Linked DNA regions of Canis lupus familiaris. The protein of the gene in region 1 interacts with the protein of each later gene in a biochemical or structural test. Links are inferred from orthologs where the notes say so. Each region holds a gene or a part of one and is shown on either strand. Other genes may lie near its edges.

The links.
Region 2: the proteins of TNFRSF8 (region 1) and TNFSF8 form a complex in vitro, tested with the Homo sapiens proteins (2 studies listed by BioGRID and IntAct). The link is inferred for Canis lupus familiaris from reciprocal best matches to the Homo sapiens genes TNFRSF8 and TNFSF8.

What each region holds. Positions count from the first base shown.
Region 1 is NC_049223.1:83,699,168-83,703,251, forward strand, and holds the start of TNFRSF8 (tumor necrosis factor receptor superfamily member 8), read right to left. Parts: upstream 2,854-4,084; 5' UTR 2,703-2,853; intron 1-2,702. UniProt on the Homo sapiens protein: Receptor for TNFSF8/CD30L. May play a role in the regulation of cellular growth and transformation of activated lymphoblasts. Regulates gene expression through activation of NF-kappa-B.
Region 2 is NC_049232.1:69,414,052-69,418,162, forward strand, and holds the start of TNFSF8 (tumor necrosis factor ligand superfamily member 8), read right to left. Parts: upstream 2,841-4,111; 5' UTR 2,514-2,840; coding exon 2,319-2,513; intron 1-2,318.

The DNA.
Region 1 (4,084 bases):
TCCTTCCCTCTCCCTCTGCTCCTACCCCCCTGCTTGTGCTCTCTCTCTCTCTCTTTCTCAAATAAATAAATAAAATCTTAAAAAAAAAAAAAAAAGAAGACAGGGAGGAAAGGCAAACACAAACATAAGGGATAATTGGCGCCCGTAAAGTTGACATTGAGATATATATTTAGTAGAAATAAAAATCCAGGTCAGTTTCCCTAAAATGAAAAAAACTAAACTGCAGATAGAAAAGACATTCCAGGGGCATCTGGCTGCCTCAGTCTGTGGAACATGAGACTCTTGATCTCAGAGTCGTGGGTTCAAGCCCCATGTTGGGCACAGAGATAACTTAAATAAATAAAAACTTTTTTAAAAAAGACAAAATAAGACATTCCAGGTACCAGGAAGAATCCTTTCCAAATAATTCATCTCAAGGCATATTCTGGTAAATTTTGAGCTCTGAAGATAAAGATTATTCTTGCGGTCATCTACAAAGGGGCAAAAACAAGGCGGATAGCAGACTCCTCCACAGCAATATTCACCATATGAAGACAAAGCACCAATGCCTATAAAGCTCTAGAGAAAACAGGTTTCAGGAATAATCATATACCTGCCCAAGTTGTCATTCGAGCATACAGGCAAGAAACATTCCCAAACATGAAAGAATCCCCTGAGGGATGTGCAAAGATGAATCCTTCCTGAAAAATCCACAGGTCAGTGAAATCTAACCAAACAAGTGATAAATCAAAATGAAAATTTCAGGAACAGAGAAACTGTCGTCAATGTACTCAGGGTGCACAATGAATAAGTTTAAATAGCAAAGCAAAGCTAACAGCCAAGGGACTGAGGGTTACAGAAAATATAAACACCACAGGCAATAACAGAGTAAAAAAAAAAAAAAGTAAGCAATAAAAGTCAGGAAGAGGACAGGGAGGCAGCAAGCTAATTACTTAACTTTTCATTACAGGAAGCCAATTTACTCTGTCCTATCCAAAAACTGAAACAAGCAGAACGAGATTTTACCACAAGAGAGTTTTATTCTTTTAAGGACTTCCAACTACTTCTTGATTTTCATAACCTCTTAATTTTACAGGGTTTTCTTTGTTTTGTTTTGTTTTTAGAAACTGCTCTCTTGTGATTATTTTCACTTTAGTTTCTTCTTCCTCTGACACACTTGAATAAAATCAAATGTAATCACTTGAACATCATGAACAGTACGTTCCCATCCTCTTTAAAAATCCCTTTTCGGGAAGTCCCGGTGGCTCAGCGGTTTAGCGCCGCCTTCAGCCCAGGGTATGATCCTGGAGACCTGGGATCGAGTCCCACGTCAGGCTCCCTGCATGGAGCCTGCTTCTCCCTCTGCCTGCGTCTCTGCCTCTCTCTCTCTCTCTCTCTCTCTCCTCATTGTCTCTATGAATAAATACATAAATCTTTTTTTTTAATAAATAAATAATAAAAATAAATAAAAATCCCTTTTCTCGAAGCATAAGCATCTACCTTCAGTACAGGTCATGATCTCAGGCTCCCTACTCAGCAGGGCTCTGCTTCTCCCTCTCCTTCTGCCCCTCCTCGCCTCTCGTGTGTACACACTCTCTCCCTCCCAAATAAATAAATAAAAATATTTTTTAAAATCTCTTTTCTGCACGTGTGTATGGCTGTCGACCCTTCCCATTCTTCCCCCCTCTATATAGAGATACAGAAAAGTGTCGGTCAGACATCCAACCAGGGGGGAAGGGGCAGAGGTGGCATTCTTCCTCACATCTCTTGATGTGCTTGAATGTTTCATAATGAACGTCTGAAACTCTCATTTAATACAAAGCAGTCATAAGTCTTAAAAACTTAAAGATATACCAGAGAAACGCTAATACGGATGAAGAAGAATGGCAATGTTAATATCAAGCAAAAATGGGGATCCCTGGGTGGCGCAGCGGTTTAGCGCCTGCCTTTGGCCCAGGGCGTGATCCTGGAGACCCGGGATCGAATCCCACATCGGGCTCCCGCTGCATGGAGCCTGCTTCTCCCTCTGCCTGTGTCTCTGCCTCTCTCTCTCTCTCTCTCTGTGTGACTATCATAAGTAAAAAAAAAAAAAAAAAAAAAAAAATATCAAGCAAAAATGGAATTAAGGCAAACACTGTAAGGAACAAAGAGATAATTTCATGCTGATGAAAGGTCTAAGCCACCAAGGAAACACAGTATTCCCGAACATCACACCTAATAACATAGCTCTGACATCAGAGAGCAAAAATAAGTAGAACCCAGTGAAAACCTGATGGAAAACAAGCACAGGGGAGGTGGATTTTACGCATCCATCTCAGATGTCAACCTTTGGGAAGGTGACAAAGGATAAACAAGAATGCAAAAAGCTAGGTTACTTCGGGGAACTTAGCTGGCTCAGTCCACAGAGCATGTGAGCCTTGAGCTCAGGGTTGTGAGTTCGAGCCCCACGCTGGGTGTGGAGATTCCTCAAATAAACACTTTTTAAAAAGGATGCATAGGGGATCCCCGGGTGGCGCAGCGGTTTAGCGCCTGCCTCTGGCCCAGGGCGGGACCCCGGGGTCCCGGGATCCCGCGTCGGGCTCCTGCGTGGAGCCTGCGTCTCCCTCTGCCTGGGTCTCTGCCTCTCTCTGTCTCTCGTGAATGAATAAGTGAAATCTTTAAAAAACTAAAACCCAACCCCCCACCCCCACCCCACCCCCCGAGGCCGCCGGCGCCGCCCTCACCTCCAGAGCAGCTCACACAGGCCTTGCAGCGGCCGTCCCGGTCCAGGTAGTAGTCGGGCTCGCAGCGCTTCCCGCAGTCGGAGGGCCCCCGAGGGCACGGCAGCCGCGCGCTCAGCCCTGGGGAAGGAAGCACAGAAGCTCCAGGCCGCCGCCCCGGCCCAGGCCCCGGCCCAGGCCCCGGCTGAGCCCCCGGCGCCCCCGGCCTCGGGCTACACCGCGTGGCGGCGCCGGGCCGGCCTCGCCGAAGGAAGCCGCACAGGCCCGGGAGCGCGGAGCAGGGACCCCTCGGCCCGAGGAGCCAGGGCAGCCGGGCTGCGACGCACGCACAGCGGCCGGCAGTGCGAGTCCCAGGCGCGGGGAGGGGAGGCGCACGCGGTCCACACCCACGGCGACCCGCGCGGGGACCGGGCGCCTCCAGCCGCCAGCGGCCTCCGGCAGCCCCGCAGCCCCAGACGCTTCCCACCCACGCCGAGGCCAGCGGGCACGTGGCCCAGGCGGGCCAATCACTATACGTCATCCTTCACGATGGGCACGTGACCCAGGCGGGCCAATCACATACGTCATCCTTCACGATAGACACGTGACCCAGGCGGGCCAATCACATACGTCAGCCTTCACGATGCACACGTGACCCAGGCGGGTCAATCACAATACATCACCCTGATGGACACGTGGCCCAGGCGGGCCAATCACTATACGTCATCCTTCACGATGGACACGTGACCCAGGCGGGCCAATCACAATACATCATCCTTGATGGACACATGACCCAGAGGAGCCAATCACAATACCTCATCCTCCACGATGGGCACATGACCCAGGCAGGCCAATCACAATACGTCATGCTTCGCGATGGACACATGACCCAGAGGAGCCAATCACAACACCTCAGCCTTGGGACGCCCGGGTGGCTCAGCGGTTGAAGGTCGACCTACCCTTGGCTCGGGGCGTGACCCCGGGGTCCCCGGATCGCGTCCCACATCGGGCTCCTGCGAAGCGCCTGCCTCTCCCTCGGCCCGCGCCGCTCCCGGGAGCAAGCCCTTCTCTTCCCTGTTGGGTCCGTGGTGCGAGGCGCAGGTTACGCCCGGGGCTGCGGCGTGGCAGGTGCACGTGCCCGAGGAGGCGGGGCCCGGGAGGCAGGCGGGGTCCGGGGCGGAGCCACGGGCGCGAGGGCGGCTCCGCTGTCGCTGGCGACTCCGTTCGTCCGCCTGGGCTTTGGGCGCGGGGCCCTGCCGCCTTGTGCAGTCTCCGCGTCGCGGGGGCGTGGGACGCGGCTCGGAATCCCGCTTCCCGGGGCGTGGCTGAGGGCGCGGTCACCAGGGAACCCGCGGACGCCGCGCGCTGCAGAGCACCGGGCGCTGCAGGCCGCGGCCCAAGAGCGC
Region 2 (4,111 bases), on another chromosome or scaffold:
CATGTGCTTCTTACCTAGAACTGTGACTTCTTAGGCTGTAAAACCATTCTCATGGTACTCTATCCCTGCCCCCTTCCAACCTCACACAGAGTGCTATGTAGCCGCCGACCCATTCCATTTTTTGATAGTTGGGATGTGAGTTTAAGTTTCTCAGGCCTATCCCATTGATTTCTTTACCAGGGGTCCTGTTATTAGAGTCTTTCCTTTTATCTAAATTCCTAATGTCAGCCTGCATTCCCTCTTCCTGCAGAAAGCCTTCCTTGATAACCCAAGGGGATAACTCTTCTTAGCTCTTAGGACAGTTAATGTCTGAATAATTTATTGGAAATGATAGTTTATTGTGCAGTATAAAACACTGCACATTTAATATCACAATTAGTATGACAAGCCTTAGCTTTTAAGCAAGTAACTGATATCTCCCAGACTAAAGAAACCACAGCCCACCAAACCATATAATCAGATTGTGAAGTGAATCTTTTCATATCCTCATATGAGAAGTGAGTCAAGGAAATGGATGCGCAAGAAGATAAAGCTCCCGAAAGAGGAGCAGGAACAAAATTTCTAAGTGTTTCTGTGGCTGGCTGATAGGTAAAGGGAGTGTTGTTCTCATTAAACAATCGAGCACAGTCTTGACTCTATCACTTTCTCAGGATGACTTAGTTCAAGCCCCTTCTCCTTTCTGTTCCTGCTTTTCCACACATACAAAAATGGGCCAGAAAGATCCACTCTAGTTCCTTTCTGGAAAGAATGGAATTGCATAAGGACACTTCTAGAGCTCTCTCCAGCTTTAGAGTTCACCATCACCCCCAATACCTTCCTTCCCTTCTTCTTTCCTTTCATTTTCTTTCCCTTTCCTTCCTTCCTTCTCTTTCCTAGTAGTTCTAGATGCAACATTTAACTAAAGAAACTTCTTAAAGACCACTTCAGTTTCTTTTCTTTGGCCATTGCTATAAAATGATATACTTCTGGTTTACTTCAAATTAGAATTACAGAAATGATCTAGCCTCTACCAAAAAAAAAAAATGCCCTAGAATATTTCCAAAAGTATTATTCTTAGTATACATGGATGAACTCATTCAAGGATGCATTTTATAAACCTTACGATCTAAATCAAATGTTAGTAACTCTGTTTTCTTTCACTTTTATGGAGGTATGAGCCTCAAAGCTTCATTTAAACTTCAAAGCTGGTGACCCTTGAGAAACAGATACCCAAATCTCTTAAAGCCTAGTTCCATTCACCAATCCATGAGGTATAGAACATTCAACCTAAGACAACTGCAGGGAAACGGAAATCTTGCAGGATTGTAAGAAAAACGGGAGCTCTGAAAGAATAAGTAGAAACATTCTCACCTTGGCAGGGCAGGGCACGAGGGGGATCAAGTTCTCAAATTACCAAAATAACAAAAACTTCTCTTCATTCAAAAAACGCATGAGCGAAATATACCACCAATATGGTATTTTCTACAAAATGCACACTGGCCAGATTCTCTGTAAACACCAATTTCCTAAAATATGAAGAAGTGTCCTCCTTTGTCTCTTCTGTTTTTGCAACAAATCTTACCATTTCCTCCAAACAAAGCCAATTTCCTGAGATGTTTGCCTCTACAGTGGGTACCCATAGTTGCTTGTAGCTTTAGTATTCTGAGCAGTCTCAGAGGCAACAGGCATTACAAATATTTCTATGTTCTGCCCTCGTGCTCTGGGTTTCTCGTGACATCCTAAACTCTTCCAAGCAGTGGCTCAGGAGGAAGCCTCCACTTGCCTTGTAGGCTTTAATTAGCTCTAAGGACCTAAGCCTGGTCTCCTGTCTTGCTCCTTCTCGTATACACCTGGGTCACTGAAACCTAGCTCCTTGTTGAGAAAGCTCTTGGCAACAGAGGAGGCCCCGGAGAACTCAACACTGTTTGAACTGAGAATAGAGAACCTTGAAGAAGACATGGTAACAAGTCGTGTGAATCTGTTATCAGATTTCCTTATCACTTCCTTCTCAGATACACATCTCTGGCCCAGCAAAAAATTTAAATCTTAATTTCTTAATACTAATAGCTCCTGTCTCTTCTTCTGGCCCATGTGAGTCTGCAAACTTTTGAGGTGACTGCTGAACATATTTTCTCTTAAAAGCCAAATTATTTCAGAGAGTTGAGTTCCTGTTTCTTTTCTCCCTCTTTCTACATGATATATGTACCAGATGTTGGTTTTTTCTTTCTTCTTCTTCTTCTTTTTCTTCTTCTCAGCTACTTTTTGTTTTTTTCTCAAGCCTTTCTCTCTGGGGAACACTGAACGCAAATCAGAAAAAAGGTGACCAGAAGTCCACTTACCGTCTTCTGAACTACCAACATCATGATGGTTGCCACAGCAAAGATGAGACACAGAGCCAGCGCCGTGGTGGTGAAGTAGAAATAACCACGGCTTGTGGTTCCCAAGTGGCTGGCGACAGAGCCTGCTGGCACATGCATGGCTGTGTCTTGAGAAGGGGCCATTCGGTTGAGTGCTTGCTGCAGCCCTGGGTCCATTCTTATATAGTCTTCCCACAGCACACCTTATCTCTCCTCATCTGATTCAGTTCTGAGCCCATCTCTGTTCCAAGAAGGATTCTCCCCCTGCATCCTGGATCATGTGACGTGGAAAAAAACCTTCACCAGCTGCCACACGAAGAAACTCTTCTCTGGGGGCGTGAGGCGAAAGACAGCAGCAAGGGTGGGGGAGAGGCTCATTTTTCATTGCCAGGGATGAATTTGAGGGCAGAGAAACTGTAGCTACAGAGAAGGTGGTTGATGTCAGAGGGCGAGAAGGAAAATGACGGTTTCCCTACTCTGGGGTGTGTGTGTGTGTGTGTGTGTGTGTGTAGTGAGTGAGAGAGAGAGAGAGTGCACAAAGCGACTTCTGTTTCACTTAGACTCAGCCACAAAACGCCTTCCTGCTTGAGAAGCCGCATCTTCTCTTCAGCGAGGCCTGCAGCTCAGAGGACCTCGTCAGAAAATGTCTCTGTGCTGGGCCTCCGGGAAGCTGGCGCCCTCGCACTGGGCTGTGATGACTCCAGAGGGTTTGGTTTGATCAGAATCAGCTCCTGCTGGAAACTGGAGATCGTTCCAGCTGCCTGGGAAGGAAGCGCCCACAAGCATGGCCATGGGGCCAAAGGGGGCGAGCCCACCGCAGTAGGAGACGTGGGGGCAAATGTCAAGAGAGTAGGAATCTGGAAACGTTGATCTTTTCAACAAAAATTCCTGCCGGCCCTATTGGGAGGGGTCAGCCCCGCAGATAAACCTGGGCTCGCCTGCCCAGTTGCAGAAAAGGGAAGGGACTGGCGGTGGCGGTGGTGATGGGGGTGGGGAAGCAGCCTGGTGCAGAGCGTGGGGGGTGTGTTCTGTGGGCGTGTGCATGGTGGGCGTATGGTATGCTCGTGTGTGGTGCACCTACGTGATGTGTGGCGTGTGTTGTGTGTCTTATGCATGGTGTGTGTGTGTGTGTGTGTGAGAGAGAGAGAGAGAGACTATTGCAGCCGAAGCTCTGCGATCTCAGGCACAGTGCTAGTGCCAGGTGCGCTTCACACCTTGCCTCACTCCACCCTCCCCTCTGCCCTCTGATGCACCTAACACTGGCTTTTCACACATGGCAATATTGAGGCTCAGAGAGCATGAGGACGGCTCATGCTTTTTTTTTTCTTCTTTTCTTTCCTTTTTTTTTTAAATACACATTTATTAGCTCACAGTTGCTGTGGGTCAGGAATCCAGGCACAGCTTAGCCGGCTCCTTTGCTTCATAGTCTCTCACAAAGCTGCAATCAAGGTGTCAATCCAGGACCTGTCATCTTCTCTGAAGGTTGCACGGGGAAAGGATTCACTTTCAAGCACACTAAGTAGTTGTTGGCAGTTTTCAGTTCTTTGTGGCTGTTTGAGTGAGTATCTCAGTTCCTCACTAGGTGTTGACCGGAGGGGCTACTCTCAGTCCCTTACCACACTGGCCTCTCTCACATGGCAACTTGCTTCATCAAAGCAGGCAAGTTGAGAACTCAATAGAATCTCTCTAGGATGTATGTTTTCATTCTCTTTCTGGTCTAAAATCACTTGCAAGTGGCTGACTTGAGACTCAGGTTCTGCCATCCACCGTGTCCG